Linked DNA regions of Saccharomyces cerevisiae S288C. The gene in region 1 interacts genetically with each later gene. Each region holds a gene or a part of one and is shown in the gene's direction. Other genes may lie near its edges. The genes, in order: ESC2, AQY3, PWP1 and PUT2.

The links.
Region 2: mutations in ESC2 (region 1) and AQY3 together harm fitness more than expected from each alone (negative genetic interaction), as found in Saccharomyces cerevisiae (one large-scale study listed by BioGRID).
Region 3: mutations in ESC2 (region 1) and PWP1 together harm fitness more than expected from each alone (negative genetic interaction), as found in Saccharomyces cerevisiae (one large-scale study listed by BioGRID).
Region 4: mutations in ESC2 (region 1) and PUT2 together harm fitness more than expected from each alone (negative genetic interaction), as found in Saccharomyces cerevisiae (one large-scale study listed by BioGRID).

Annotation. Positions count from the first base shown.
Region 1 is NC_001136.10:1,197,352-1,201,120, forward strand, and holds ESC2 (Esc2p), read left to right. Parts: upstream 1-1,831; coding exon 1,832-3,202; downstream 3,203-3,769. Other genes in the region: transcription factor TFIIIC subunit TFC6, read right to left, coding at 1-1,346. UniProt on the Saccharomyces cerevisiae protein: May be a substrate targeting component of a cullin-RING-based E3 ubiquitin-protein ligase complex RTT101(MMS1-ESC2). Involved in HMR and telomere silencing via the recruitment or stabilizing of the SIR (silent information regulators) complex.
Region 2 is NC_001138.5:20,302-24,389, reverse strand, and holds AQY3 (Aqy3p), read left to right. Parts: upstream 1-1,602; coding exon 1,603-3,543; downstream 3,544-4,088. Other genes in the region: DAK2 (dihydroxyacetone kinase), read right to left, coding at 1-967. UniProt on the Saccharomyces cerevisiae protein: Channel protein that mediates glycerol entry under ethanol stimulation. Does not seem to mediate glycerol uptake under standard conditions.
Region 3 is NC_001144.5:542,104-546,237, forward strand, and holds PWP1 (rRNA-processing protein PWP1), read left to right. Parts: upstream 1-1,864; coding exon 1,865-3,595; downstream 3,596-4,134. Other genes in the region: glycylpeptide N-tetradecanoyltransferase NMT1, read right to left, coding at 1-1,201; snoRNP complex protein NOP56, read left to right, coding at 3,994-4,134.
Region 4 is NC_001140.6:180,112-184,236, forward strand, and holds PUT2 (1-pyrroline-5-carboxylate dehydrogenase), read left to right. Parts: upstream 1-1,865; coding exon 1,866-3,593; downstream 3,594-4,125. Other genes in the region: BRL1 (Brl1p), read left to right, coding at 234-1,649; RRF1 (Rrf1p), read left to right, coding at 3,955-4,125.

The DNA of each region.
Region 1 (3,769 bases):
TCAAACTCTGCTACAAATCCGTTCTTAAAGCCACAAACAACAGTAGTAGGAGATAAAAAATCAAAAGTAGTTATCAAACTGTCTGCCAGGGATAAAGTCAAAGAAGGCTTCTCACACATCTTAAACACGTGAACATCGGTTGCATTATCAATAATTTCCAAAAAATTTATTGTCCCTTCCTGGCTTACGAATGATAAACAGCCAACCAGATGAGGTGCGTGACATCCTTCGTGCCATTTAAGATCCCACACTTCACCAAATGAGTGTACAATGGTTTGAACTTTTACGCAATGTAGAGTAGAAGTATTCATTTTGAAAATTTGTATACAGGAGGAGTGCTTCTCCTTGTCAAACATTTCTAAATGCTCGTTCAAAGGCTCATCCATGTACTGTGATACCGCGACGGCTAAATATTGTATATCCTTGCCTATATCAGTATTTTCCTCTATATTAAGCCATGCAATATCTGTTACCAATCCTCCTACGTTGTAAATAAAGCCGCGCCTTTTGCCGTTAGCAAGCACCGGAAACTCTATTTTATCGCCAGTGGATACCTCTGCATCAACTTCCCCGATAAGTAACTTCAATCTCTTCGTTCTCAATTTGATCATATTCTCAAATTCAGTCTTATTAATTTCATGATATACGGTTCTGTTTTTATCCCCTATGACTTTATTATATGCACTTTCCTTTTTACACGGTGGATCTAAGCATACAAAATATGGAGAATCAGGCTGAATATTCTTGAATGGGAAATCGAAAACGCTAGTTTCAAAGCCTTCCTTAACTTTTGCTAGCAACAATAACTTTTCCTTATTCAGTCCATAAATTCTTTCAATCTTGTCTCTTGCACTCGAAAGATCTTTTAGGAGCCTGATGGGACGGCCCTTCTGTCCTAGACTTGACCCTGGGGAGCTGCTCTTCATATTTTTAGTCGAATTCTTCTTCAAACGAAGTTTCTGTACAGTATTTCTTCTTCCACTGGGTCTAACAGAAGCTCCACTTCCACTACTGTTTAAATCCGCCACCTCATTTTTAGTAGACTCTAACTCATTCTCAAATTCTATCTCAACATTGTCACTTTCCTCACCATCACCTTCATCATTCAATACAAAATCATCATCGTCGGTGTCATCAACATTATTGACTTGTGTAGTATTTATCACATCATCGCGACCAGCATGCACTAATTGTGCGAAATTTGCAACTGCTTTCTTAGATGCGTTTCTCCTCGGCCTTTTACTGCCTGAGTTTTCAGATACTGGGCTTGCCAAGCTATCATAGGGAACTTCTGCTACCACAGATTTTCTAGGTCTTCCTCTTTTCTTTGCCGGTATTACTGCCATCGCCACAACTTAATATATTATTACACGTATCGCAATGGAGCAAGTTAGAGAAATTTCGCTAATGGATCAAAGAGTACTAGCTTTAGTTTTTAGGACATGAAACTGCTCTTACTGAGTAGAAATCAAAGCTTTAACAACTCATCCAGGCTTTCTCGAACAAAAAATGGAATGTTGTTTATCTTCTTTTGCAACGTAGGGTTTTCGAACCGCAGCTTTCCGGGTGATACTGAATCCCTTCTATTTCCTTACAGAAGACAGCAAATTTTATTGTAGCATATAAGAAAAGAAATGACAGGCAGAGGAGGGACCAGCATGCCTATGAATTCCCAATACCATATATCACTTTGACAGCGTATATCGCAATTGAAATAGAACAACTTTTCATTATTACTTCAGAATTCATTTTAAAGTGATTGCGAACACGGATTATAGCCCTGAACAATAAAAGGCAAGAGAAAAAATCATTTGTTTTAGGCTGTTAACAGATGACCGGTGATTCCAGAAGCATCAGCGAACCCTCAATTAATCTAGATCCAGATAATACAAGTTTTTCTGATGAAAACAGCGATGACTTCTTTATGGACAATTCCTATGATATAGATGAAATCGATCATAGCGATGAAAGTAATAGGCAAAGTGTCATAGTTGACTCTAAAGTCACGGTACCGCCATCAAAGCATTCAACTCTAACATTATCTGATAGTGAAGATAGCGACGCAAAGGAACAACATCAGTCCCTGAGCAGATCATCTAGTAAAAATGTAAATATAGAAGATATTACGGAGCCCAAGCCAGACAAACCATCGGGTCGAACTAGAGGAAGATCTGTGATGAAAGAGTCTGTAGTTGAAATAAACTCATCTGAATCTGACTTAGACGAAGACAAAAATTTTCCCAGATCTAGGTCAAGGTCCAGGTCAAGCATAAGATCAATATCTCCAGCGGGAAAATACAAGCGACAGAAAAGTTCATTACTGTATACCTATGATGAAAACGATGACTTTTTCAAGGAACTTGCTAAAGAAGCCAAAAAAAGCACCACTATTTCTAAAGAATCGACACCCGACCAGCGGAAGCGAGTTTATAACATCAAATTTCTCTCTAAGCTAGAAGGAACTATAAATAAAGCGGTCCAAGTGAAGGTCCTCGGAAAATACGAATTTTCAAAAATACTTCCTGCTGCTTTGGACGGATTGATGAAGTCCTATAAAATTCCGAAGGTAATGAAAGATATATACAAGGTAGAGAATGTTACTCTTTATTGGAACAATGCAAAATTACTCACTTTTATGACTTGTAATTCGCTACATATCCCACAGGATTTTGAAAATGAAGTCTCTGATATCGATGTTACTATCGTATCCAAAGAATACGAAAAGAACTTTGAAGCGACACTGGAATCAAAGTTAAAGGAAGAAGAAGCTGCTTTACTCATAAAAGAACGTCAGGAGATGGAAAGGAAGTTAGAGAAAAAGAGAAATGAACAAGAAGAGTCCGAATATCGCGAGTTTGAATCCGAATTAAAAAACGTAGAAGAAACACAAGAAATAAAAGAAAATGATACAGTTATGAATACAAAACTTCTGCAAGAGGGTGGCTCTTTGTCAGGAAATAGTAGTAGCATGGAAGAAGTTATGAGAATCGCTCTCATGGGTCAAGATAACAAAAAAATCTATGTCCATGTTAGGCGTTCAACACCATTTTCTAAAATTGCCGAATATTACAGAATCCAGAAACAGTTACCACAAAAGACGAGGGTTAAATTACTTTTTGATCATGATGAATTGGACATGAATGAGTGTATAGCCGATCAGGATATGGAAGATGAAGACATGGTTGATGTCATTATTGATTGAGCGCAATTTGCTAAAAAAGGCCGAACTCCGGCTCTTTACGTGCCACAATTATTATTTACTATGGGCGGCGGGTGTGTTGGTGGTGCTTGCGGTACTTGTAAAATATTTTCTGAATATAATTGAATAAGACCTTTTGTGTTTAAATCATACTCGGGTAATTCTCTGTTCAAAAAGTAGGTGCTGACCCTCTTCTACCTTCCGTGAAATATTATAAAGGAATTTTTCCATCTCTAACTCAACATGTTAACGCTTTTCTATAAAAATTTGATCGCCTAATGAATACAAAAATCTCTTCAGCTTTTTCGTGCTAGGTTTGAATAGTACATCTAACGTAGAACAACTATCAAAACAATTTGATATTTCCTCGGCTATAGTTTTCTTGGAACAAGAGGTAAACTACTTCTCTATTGTTGCTACAGCAGTCAATTAAAATAATTCGTTTCATCATAATATTATGATATCAACGCTAAAAGGTTGTATAAATTACGAGATCAGCAGAAAATAAAATTCAAGCCATCATCCTTTAAGGTGATTTGAAGGGCAAGAATTGGTAGTGTAACTGCATCA
Region 2 (4,088 bases), on another chromosome or scaffold:
TCATAAGAGTGATACCAAACCCAGGACCATTCAATGCAGTAATGAATGCTCCAGTAATCGTTCTCTTGGGCACAATTTGATACTTATCAATCAATTGTTCAGAAATGACCTCTGCAGCATAACCCAATTCTAGATTAGACATACCACCCATGTTGTTAACCATAAGAACTACGTCCTCTTTGGGCTCAAACTTCACATAAGAACGGTCTTCATCCTCATCGAGAAGAAGAGGAAGCATCTGGGAAACGAGCTCAGAAATCGATGGCAGCGGAGAAGACTTATAGGTACCAGACTCGTTATGAATACCCATACCGATTTCATACTCATTCTCGCCCAAAATGGCTTCAGGTTTGTGGCCAGGAACCGTGCAGTGATCAAGAGATGCCGCAATTGTGACACTATTGTCAACTACTGACTGAGCAACTTCGGCAACTTCTGCCAACTCCAGTCCATGAGAAGCGGCTGCCCCAGCAATTTTATGCACCAATACGGTGGCTCCGAGACCTCGACGCCCGACTAAAGAACCTTTCTTCTTACCGACAGAGACATCATCTCCTACAGCAACCAGTTCGACTTTCATTCCAGCAGCTTTAGCTCTTTCAGCAGCGAGACCAAAATGTATAATATCACCGGTGTAATTTTTTACAATGATCAAGGTACCCTTAGGAGATTCAACAGCTTTAATAGCAGAATAGATCTGTTTAGTTGAAGGAGAAGCAAAAATGGCACCTGCTGCAATCGCATCTAAGGCACCTTCACCAACAAAACCGGCATGCGTTGGCTCATGACCACTGCCACCTCCAGAAACCAATGAAACTTTAGGAGGGTTCCCTGAATTAGGAGCTGACGCAGTCCGGAAAACCACTCTGTCGTGCTTAATCACTGTAAGGCCGGGATTGCTTCGAGCAAGGCCAAGTAGGTAGGGAGTAACGATGTTTCCATCTGATTTGAATTGTTTGTGAGACATGATTATTTAGTCAATTGTAGTTGGGTTTTGTCAGATTTTGAGGTAAAATACACTTTACAGACAATACTAGAAAAAAAAAGGGCTGATCTGGGTTCATTTATATATATTTAATGATCCAAAGTTTGAAAATTCAATCACACATTGCGGTATTTTCCCCTTCTCGTATTGTTGAGATCCTTATACAATATCAAGTACTTAATTATCCAACTATGGTGACGTAAGAATTTACTTGGCTCAATATCTCCCTATTTGGTACTACGATACGATTTCATGAAATTATGAGTTAAATAATTTAGAATCTAGTTATGGCCTGGCGGGAATTGTTTCTGTGCAGGGATTTACTCACAATCACCCTCTGCGGGAATAATATGCATAGGTTGTGATTAATTTTTTAAATTAAGTTCCATCAGAAGGCCTAGTTTTCTCCGTTGATAACTCCGCTCCGGAATATCATAATTTTCCGGTACCCCACTTACCCCGGAAATTTGAGTTATAAACGTTGTTTGAGCTTTACCTAGTCTTGGTCGATCAAAAGTTCTGGTACCTTTTCACCATGTCTCCCCCTTATTCATATAAAAAGAAGCGTATAATCGCACAGTATAACGCTCCTCTGATATATGATCTAGACCCAAGTAATGAGTTACGAATCTGGGAGGTCATCCTCCTCTTCCGAGAGTACACGGCCACCAACGCTAAAAGAAGAACCTAATGGTAAAATAGCTTGGGAAGAAAGTGTCAAAAAATCTAGGGAAAATAACGAAAATGACAGCACTCTCTTGAGGCGAAAGCTAGGTGAGACTCGAAAAGCAATTGAAACTGGAGGATCATCGAGAAATAAACTTTCTGCTTTGACACCCTTGAAAAAAGTGGTTGACGAGAGGAAGGATTCGGTACAACCACAGGTCCCTTCCATGGGTTTTACTTATTCTTTGCCTAATTTGAAGACTTTAAACAGTTTTTCAGATGCTGAGCAAGCACGTATAATGCAAGATTATCTATCCAGGGGGGTAAATCAAGGCAACAGTAATAATTATGTAGACCCACTATATCGGCAATTAAATCCAACTATGGGTAGTAGCAGGAACAGGCCTGTTTGGAGTTTAAATCAGCCGTTACCGCATGTATTGGATCGAGGCTTGGCAGCAAAGATGATACAAAAGAATATGGATGCAAGGTCCCGCGCATCATCGAGACGAGGGTCGACCGATATTTCAAGGGGGGGTTCTACTACGTCAGTGAAAGACTGGAAAAGGCTCCTTAGAGGTGCAGCACCGGGTAAAAAGCTTGGTGACATCGAAGCTCAAACGCAACGCGATAATACTGTTGGTGCAGATGTGAAACCTACTAAGTTAGAGCCTGAAAACCCACAAAAGCCCTCTAACACGCATATTGAGAATGTTTCACGTAAGAAAAAGCGTACTTCGCATAATGTCAATTTTTCATTAGGCGATGAAAGCTACGCATCCTCCATAGCCGATGCAGAATCCAGAAAATTAAAGAACATGCAAACCCTCGATGGTTCTACTCCGGTTTATACGAAGCTTCCTGAAGAACTTATTGAAGAGGAAAATAAAAGTACGAGTGCATTAGATGGTAATGAAATTGGTGCCTCAGAAGATGAAGACGCGGATATAATGACATTTCCTAACTTTTGGGCAAAAATTCGCTATCATATGCGAGAACCGTTTGCGGAGTTTCTCGGGACACTAGTTCTTGTCATTTTTGGTGTTGGTGGTAATCTTCAAGCAACTGTAACAAAAGGTAGTGGTGGTTCCTATGAATCCCTATCATTTGCATGGGGGTTCGGTTGTATGCTTGGTGTTTACGTCGCAGGCGGTATTAGTGGTGGTCATATTAACCCTGCTGTTACGATTTCAATGGCAATTTTTCGAAAATTCCCCTGGAAAAAGGTGCCCGTATATATTGTTGCTCAGATTATCGGTGCATATTTTGGAGGAGCTATGGCTTATGGTTATTTTTGGAGCTCTATCACAGAATTTGAGGGAGGTCCGCACATAAGAACAACGGCGACCGGTGCGTGTTTGTTTACTGATCCAAAGTCTTACGTCACGTGGAGAAATGCCTTCTTTGACGAATTCATAGGAGCCTCTATACTTGTGGGTTGTTTGATGGCGCTATTGGATGATAGTAATGCTCCACCTGGCAATGGTATGACCGCATTAATTATTGGATTCTTAGTCGCTGCAATTGGTATGGCCCTTGGATATCAAACAAGTTTCACAATCAATCCTGCAAGAGATCTCGGTCCTCGCATATTTGCTTCCATGATTGGCTATGGTCCACATGCTTTTCATCTCACACATTGGTGGTGGACATGGGGAGCCTGGGGTGGTCCAATTGCCGGCGGTATTGCTGGAGCACTCATATATGACATTTTCATTTTTACTGGATGCGAATCCCCAGTCAACTACCCAGACAACGGTTATATTGAGAATAGGGTAGGTAAACTTTTACATGCGGAGTTCCACCAGAATGATGGCACTGTCTCAGATGAATCTGGTGTTAACAGCAACAGCAACACTGGCAGCAAGAAATCTGTGCCTACTTCGTCATAATTAATATTTTCAATTTTTTACGATTTATAACCTAATTATTAATTTCACGAACTTATTATTTGACGACATACTACATCCGGGAGCCGTGACTTTGTTACCATCTCTTACTTGTGCTCTAAATTCTATCGTTTTGTTTTTGTAATAAAGAATGAGACTGCCTGCGGCTTAATTGTCTTTTTATTGTAGGCAAGAACAAAATTCGACTAATACGTAAAATTAAATGTCAAACCAGGAGTCTCACATTATGTTATTAATAAAAATAATAAAATTTTCAGCTCGTTGACGATAGGAAAATTCCTGGCACCATCAACTAGGTAATCCCACTGAAGATGTGTTTTATATGAATATGTGCTATATTTACTAATAATAAAGAGCAAGTTGCCAAATAAACTAATTGTGCTCAAAGAAAATTATTGTCATTATCATATATTTTCTCATATGCAATTTCAATCAATTTTAGACAAGTGATTATATATATGTAAACGGTTGTTTTTTGATGTTACGTTCTGTATGATTGACCAATGCTATTTTTCTCATGCGATATA
Region 3 (4,134 bases), on another chromosome or scaffold:
AAGTCAACGCGTTAAAAACATCCATATTAGCGTTTTTGGCCAAAATACAAGCGTCATAAATCAATTCACACAATCTTGTTTTCAAAGCCTTAGTAGCTTTTGGATCAAACCTGTCTTTGAATTGGAAATCTGCATCGGTGGCATAATAATACAAGTACCCGATGCCTAGGTCCTTATATTTTGTGTTATTTAGGATTGTGAATGGCAATGAGTAAAATGAGAAGAAGTCTGTAATTTTTCCATCGGGCTGTTCGACTACATATGAGAAAATTACTTGTTTATCCAATGGTAACGATTCTTCACCAATGAAATTATGTTCGAATTCTTCTTTTGTGAAAATTTGAATTAGTTCGAACCTGGATTGATATCTTTTGAACAACTCAAAAACTTGGTCAATATCTTCCTTCTTTAATTTTCTCAATCCCGCTGTCTTTGTTTTGGCCGGTAACGCATTCTCAGCAATCATATCCTCCTCTGTGTGCCCATCTGGTAACCCTGTGAAATCTACTTCATAAAGTTTCTTCCAATTCAAGGGACGATGAGTATAACGACACGTACTCACAGGTGCTGGCAAAACAATACCTGCCGTGTACAATGCATGCCAGATGTCACATTTGTTCACTCGTCTCGTAATTTCTTTAATTAGAACAGGTGTTAATCTCTTCGATCTTAGCTGTTTGTGAACGCACAAGAAATTGATTTCTACACTAGGCACTTGTTTACCTCTAACACCAAGTGTTACTGGTATGGCTGAGATAAAGGCAACTAATTTCTGTGTTTCTTTAACGCGAACACCAATATGCCAATCCTTCTTCCAACCTGGACTCTTTAAAGCCCAATTGAAGAATTCTTTGGTATAGTTAAATCTGAAGCCTGCATCGCGGTCTTCCACGTAGTTTTCATTTAGTAGAACGAAAACATCTTCAAGCTGTTTTTTGTTGTCCACATCAATACTACACCATTCGAAGCTAGACAATAAAGGTAGTGGCTTGTCAGATATATCTTCCGGTGTCTTTGGCTTATCAATGGGGCCTTCTTCCACCACCTTTTCATCGAAATCTTTGACCGGTTGCGTTCTCCAGAATTTGTGGTCTTTCATAGCTTTTTTCTGTTCTTGAGTGAATTTTGAAGTATCGTCATTATTCAACTGTAATAACTTCAATAAATTCTCTAATTTTTTCGCTTTATCCTCTTCTGACATTCTATAAATACGTTTACTACCGAAGCTCTATGACAACCAGAGCTATTGTACAGATCATTCTCTAAAAAGCGTGCAACACATATCATCTTCAATTATAGTGAATTACTTTTATCATGAGCAACGGCTGAAATTATTTTATCCTATTGTTTTATGACAGTATCCTTTCAAAAGAGTCGAAAGGATCCTCTGTTGCAAGAACTACTATTACGTAATTATACATAGTCCGCCTGCAATTTCTAGTGAGACTTTGCTTTGCTTTCCACTTTGCGATTAATATTGAGAATTTTAAACGTTAACTGAATTCTTACCCACCCATAATAAGAACTCTAACTGGCGAATTTATCATGAAACAAATCTGCAAGAATAAAAAATTAGAGAATCGTGCAATTCAATTTAATTGCCTTGTCCGTTGTAAAACTTTTCCATAGGCCCTACCTTGAGTTGATCATATGTATTATTCTATATATATTATATCCAGTCGGGTAATAAATTTTCTCGCCCTCGAAAAAAAGAAGTGAAAAATTTGTCTCGATGAGCTGAGATGAGTTTGAAAGAAGCAAAGAGTTTTAATTTGTAAACGATAGCAAGTGTACCCTCAGTTGAGTCTATTACGCCTTCCTTATTTGGAAACTTAGAAGACGAATAAAAAAAACAAAATAACTAATGATTTCTGCTACTAATTGGGTTCCAAGAGGGTTTTCCTCGGAATTTCCTGAAAAGTATGTTCTGGATGATGAGGAAGTGGAAAGAATTAACCAATTAGCACAGTTGAATTTGGATGATGCTAAAGCTACTTTGGAAGAAGCAGAAGGCGAATCAGGTGTTGAAGATGACGCCGCAACAGGTAGTTCTAATAAGTTGAAGGATCAGTTGGATATAGATGATGATTTGAAAGAATATAACCTGGAAGAATATGACGATGAGGAAATTGCAGATAATGAGGGTGGTAAAGACGTTTCCATGTTCCCGGGTTTAAGTAATGATAGCGATGTTAAATTCCATGAGGGTGAAAAAGGTGAAGATCCATATATTTCATTGCCTAATCAAGAGGATAGTCAAGAGGAGAAGCAGGAGTTACAAGTTTACCCATCCGATAATTTAGTTCTTGCTGCGAGAACAGAAGATGACGTTTCGTATTTGGATATCTACGTTTACGATGACGGTGCTGGGTTCCACAGTAGCGATATTCCCGTTGAAGAAGGTGATGAAGCTGACCCAGATGTTGCTCGTGGATTGGTTCGTGACCCTGCACTTTACGTTCACCATGATTTAATGTTGCCTGCTTTTCCACTATGTGTTGAGTGGCTTGACTACAAGGTTGGATCCAATTCCGAAGAAGCAGCCAATTATGCTGCCATTGGTACGTTTGATCCACAAATTGAAATTTGGAACTTGGACTGTGTTGACAAGGCCTTTCCCGATATGATTCTGGGTGAACCTCTTGATAATTCAATGGTGTCTTTGAAAAGCAAAAAGAAGAAGAAGAAGTCTAAGACTGGACACATTACTACTCATCATACCGATGCTGTTTTATCCATGGCACACAACAAATATTTCCGTTCCGTTTTAGCATCCACCTCTGCAGATCATACCGTAAAACTATGGGATTTGAACTCAGGTAACGCAGCCCGCTCCTTAGCTTCCATTCATTCAAACAAAAATGTTTCATCATCTGAATGGCACATGTTGAATGGTTCCATTCTTTTGACCGGTGGTTATGATTCTCGAGTAGCTTTAACAGATGTTAGAATTTCTGACGAAAGTCAAATGAGTAAATACTGGTCTGCCATGGCAGGTGAGGAAATAGAAACTGTTACATTTGCCAGTGAAAATATAATATTATGTGGTACTGATTCTGGTAATGTGTATTCTTTCGATATTAGAAACAATGAAAACCGTAAACCAGTTTGGACATTGAAGGCACACGATGCTGGTATCTCCACATTATGTTCAAACAAATTCATCCCTGGTATGATGAGTACAGGGGCCATGGGTGAAAAGACTGTCAAATTATGGAAATTCCCCTTGGATGATGCTACGAACACTAAGGGCCCAAGCATGGTTCTGTCTCGTGATTTCGATGTCGGAAATGTATTGACATCGTCATTCGCTCCAGACATCGAGGTAGCGGGTACCATGGTCATTGGTGGTGTCAATAAAGTTTTGAAACTATGGGACGTTTTTACCAATAGATCTGTACGTAAGAGCTTTAAAAGTGAACTAGAGAATGTTCAAGCAAGAGCAAAAGAAGAAGCCCAAAAAATAGGAAAAAGTTCAAGAATCGCCAGAAAATACACCAGTAACGATAACCCAGATACTGTTATAACCATTGATGATCAAGGTGAAGATGAAGAAGAAAGAGAAGGTGGAGATGAGCATGATGACATGGCATAATCTGGATATGAAAAATATTAAAGCAGAGTACATTGCAAGTACAAATAAAAAATCTATAGAAGATAATACTGTATACTAGTGTAAGAGGAGCCTCAGAAAAAAACAATATAATACATTAATATGTGCTGTTACGGTATAATTTAGCATATGATGACAATGTGGTGAATTACAGTTGTGTAACTTTTTTATATCACCCGGCATATATACGCTCGTAGAATGCGATGTGAAAATTTTCTTTTTTTTTTTTTTTCAAAGTGAAATTTTTTTGAGTGATGAGATGGGAAATGAAAAATTTTGTGCAATTGCGTAGTGTCTACAGTTTTTTAAGTAGTTATTAAAAGTGTTTTGGAAGGTATATTTCTAGGAGAAGAAGCGTGCAGAACAGTATTTAGTGAAAGATGGCTCCTATTGAATACCTACTGTTTGAAGAACCTACTGGTTACGCAGTTTTCAAGGTTAAGTTGCAACAAGATGACATTGGTTCAAGATTAAAAGAAGTTCAAGAGCAAATCAATGATTTTGGTGCTTTTACAAAGTTA
Region 4 (4,125 bases), on another chromosome or scaffold:
CTCGCTAAATATTCTTGCTGCACTTTGCGACGCCTGTATTGGCGAAAACAAAAAGTAAAGAAAAAAAAACTTTAGATGAAATAGAGCAAAATTCCCTAAGACAATAGAAGATACAAAAGCAAGTTGGGCCCTTAATTTCATCAAAGGTATAGCATCTCATCAAATAGTCGCTTGTTTATCGCAATACTTGCTTATTGAGTAGTTGTATTATAACGTTATATAGGATCTTCCATATGGAAAGTTTTGAAAATTTGAGCATAAGAGACAGTTTCACTAGCGGAATGGAACACGTTGACGAGGAGTTAGGAGGCCTCTCCGACCTAAGTATATCTAAGCAGGGGCCAACTTTGTCACCACAGCTTATCAACCGATTTATGCCCCATTTTCCCTCGAGCCCATCACCTCTGCGAAATACATTGGATTTTAGTGCTGCTAAAGCTGATGAGGAAGAAGATGACCGAATGGAAATAGATGAGGTTGATGATACAAGTTTTGAAGAAGAATATAATAACGAGCCAATCGAAACTCATACTGAAGCGACTGAGAATGCCGTGGTGGAAGAAATCGAGGCTACCCCAGAAGAAAGACAAAAGCAAGAGAAGAATGAAAGCCAAGACCAAAGTGTAGAAGAGGTCGAGAACATTGTTTCACCGCATCGTTCAACTGTCATAAAGGCATTATTATCACCGACCGATTTAGGTGTGGCCGCAGCTACTAAAGTTGAAGGTGTTGTGCCATTACCACCATCGGCCAATCAAGATGACAATGAAAGTTCGAATAACAACGCAGAGGGTGAAGACATAATCAGAAATGAAGAAGTCGAAGATGAGATCAAATCATCACTTGGCAACCACAAGTCAAGCCAGTACGCAAATGCGTTCGATTCGGAAATAATCAAGAGGGAATTAAGATCAAGATCAAAATATCAACCAATTCAGGTTTCATTCAATACACACAACTACTTCTATTCAGATAAGGACGGCATTAAAACTTATTCTCTTACTAAACCAAATCACAATAAAATAGATGAATTTTACGACCAAAATGAAGCTTTCAAGTTGCCTAAACCATGGTCACCCAATTCACATCCGGCATCAAGAGCGTCATATGCCCTAATGTCATATTTACAGTTATTTCTCAATGCGATCACTACAGTAGTGATTTTTAGTTTTATACTCTCATTTATCATAGCGCTTCAAAAGGACTTGAAATCCACATGGGAACAAAGAAAACATGAACTGCAGTACGAATCCAGAATTTGTCAAGAGCAGTACCTCACAAATCGTTGTAACCAGACGCCTGGCTTGCCGGCTCTGGGCGAACAATGTGCTATATGGAAACAGTGTATGGACAGAAATAACGATATCTTTTTCCGTGCAAGATCAACGTTGAGCGCAAAATTGTTCGGAGACATTATCAACTCATTCATAGATCCATTAAACTGGAAAACACTATTTGTTATTTTTTGTGGTGTGATAACTTGGTGTTTCAGTTCGAATTTCTTACTGGGTTTTGTAAGAGCCAAGAGCTACTATGGCAATGGCATCAAAACATATCCCTTGCCATCTTCACCGAAATCGCCGACATCAGAAGAAACACACTCATCTATGACAGCATCTGGAGAGGACTCACACCTACTTAAGCAATAGATTGTGCTATCTGGGACAGTAACAATGCTTATCTACGCCATCGGACATCTCGGGAAGCCAACTCCGAAGCCGACAAAAATTGGATAGGCCTACTATATAAGGGTGACAGGACAGCTGACTTTACTCCAGAAGTATATCCATGGAAAATATGTAATAATACAAACAAGTTAATATAATCTATATTGTATAGAAGGCCAATTCAAATTCACAGGAATTATGCTATCAGCAAGGTGCCTCAAATCTATATACTTCAAGAGATCTTTCTCACAACTGGGACACATCAAGCCCCCCAAGCACATAAGAAATGAACCTGTTAAGCCATTTAGAAACATAGACTTAAAAGACTGGGACTTACTGAGGGCTTCCTTGATGAAATTCAAAAGTTCTTCTTTAGAAGTGCCACTGGTCATCAATGGGGAAAGGATATATGACAATAATGAAAGAGCGCTTTTCCCGCAGACTAACCCTGCGAACCATCAACAAGTACTGGCAAACGTCACACAAGCCACGGAAAAAGATGTCATGAATGCTGTAAAAGCCGCCAAGGATGCCAAAAAGGATTGGTACAATCTACCGTTTTATGACAGATCTGCAATTTTTTTGAAAGCCGCTGACTTAATTTCCACCAAGTATCGTTATGACATGTTAGCTGCTACAATGCTGGGCCAGGGAAAAAATGTGTATCAGGCAGAAATCGACTGTATCACGGAATTATCTGACTTTTTTAGATACTATGTCAAGTATGCATCAGACTTGTATGCTCAACAACCCGTAGAGTCAGCGGATGGTACTTGGAATAAAGCTGAATACAGACCTTTAGAGGGATTTGTGTATGCTGTTTCACCATTCAACTTTACTGCTATTGCTGCAAACTTGATTGGGGCTCCAGCTTTGATGGGTAATACAGTTGTCTGGAAACCTTCACAAACCGCTGCCCTTTCAAATTACTTATTGATGACTGTTTTGGAAGAAGCGGGATTGCCAAAGGGTGTCATAAATTTCATTCCAGGTGATCCAGTTCAAGTTACTGACCAGGTATTAGCTGATAAAGATTTTGGTGCCTTGCATTTTACCGGTTCTACAAATGTCTTTAAGAGTTTGTATGGCAAAATACAAAGTGGCGTTGTTGAAGGGAAGTACAGAGATTACCCCCGTATTATTGGTGAGACAGGTGGTAAAAATTTCCATCTAGTTCACCCAAGTGCAAATATATCACATGCAGTACTCTCTACTATTAGAGGCACTTTCGAGTTCCAAGGCCAAAAGTGCTCTGCCGCTTCCAGGTTATATCTTCCAGAGTCAAAAAGTGAAGAATTCTTATCCGATATGTTTGGCATATTGCAGTCACAGAATGTTGTCCCAATGAACACATCCGCAAGTCCAATTTCTGGTGGGAATTTGCGGGGATTTATGGGTCCTGTCATCCATGAACAAAGTTTCGACAAATTAGTTAAAGTAATTGAAGATGCAAAGAAAGACCCCGAGTTGGAAATTCTTTACGGTGGACAATACGATAAAAGCCAAGGTTGGTTTGTCGGACCCACAGTCATAAAAGCCAAGAGACCAGATCATCCATATATGTCAACAGAATTTTTTGGCCCTATATTAACTGTTTACGAGTATCCAGATACTGAATTTAATGAAATCTGTGATATTATCGATAATACGAGTCAATACGCCTTAACTGGTGCTATTTTTGCCAAAGATCGTAAAGCAATTGAATACGCAGATGAGAAGTTGAAGTTTAGCGCAGGAAATTTCTACATAAATGATAAGTGTACTGGTGCCGTTGTTTCTCAGCAATGGTTTGGTGGCGCAAGAATGAGTGGTACCGACGATAAGGCTGGTGGTCCAAACATTTTAAGCAGATTTGTCAGTATTAGAAACACAAAGGAGAACTTCTACGAGTTGACTGATTTCAAATATCCATCGAATTATGAATAAAAAAATTTTTGTGGAATAGAACCGCGAATGCAGTCACTTCATCCATCAACTCATGTAAATGTTAGATTATCGAAAAAAGGGTTTTGATTACTTCATTAGGTTTTTTTAGTTTTACAATTTTAATTTATCTAGGTAAATAGTTTAAAAATATTCATTGAACCAACCGTCCAAATTCCCGTTCTATATTCTGTCATGACTTACTTATTCACGTTGCTATTTATTCGCCGCATATTCATTCTGTTTTTGGCATAAGGACCCGTCCGGAAACAGAACATCAATTTATTAAATACGTCCATTCGTAAGCTTAAAGATGGAAACTTTGGCGAGCAGTCCCTGACAAGAAAAATAACAGCAAGAAATAATGATTTTAACCACAGCTAGATTAAATTGTAGACCAGTCACCGTTCCTCGTCTATTTAATCGTTCTTTTAGTCAATCTTTCATAATTTTGAAGAAAAAAAGTTCTACCCCTACTGAGAAAGTCGAAGAAGATGAAATTGACGTGAATGAACTGCTGAAAAAGGCAGAAACT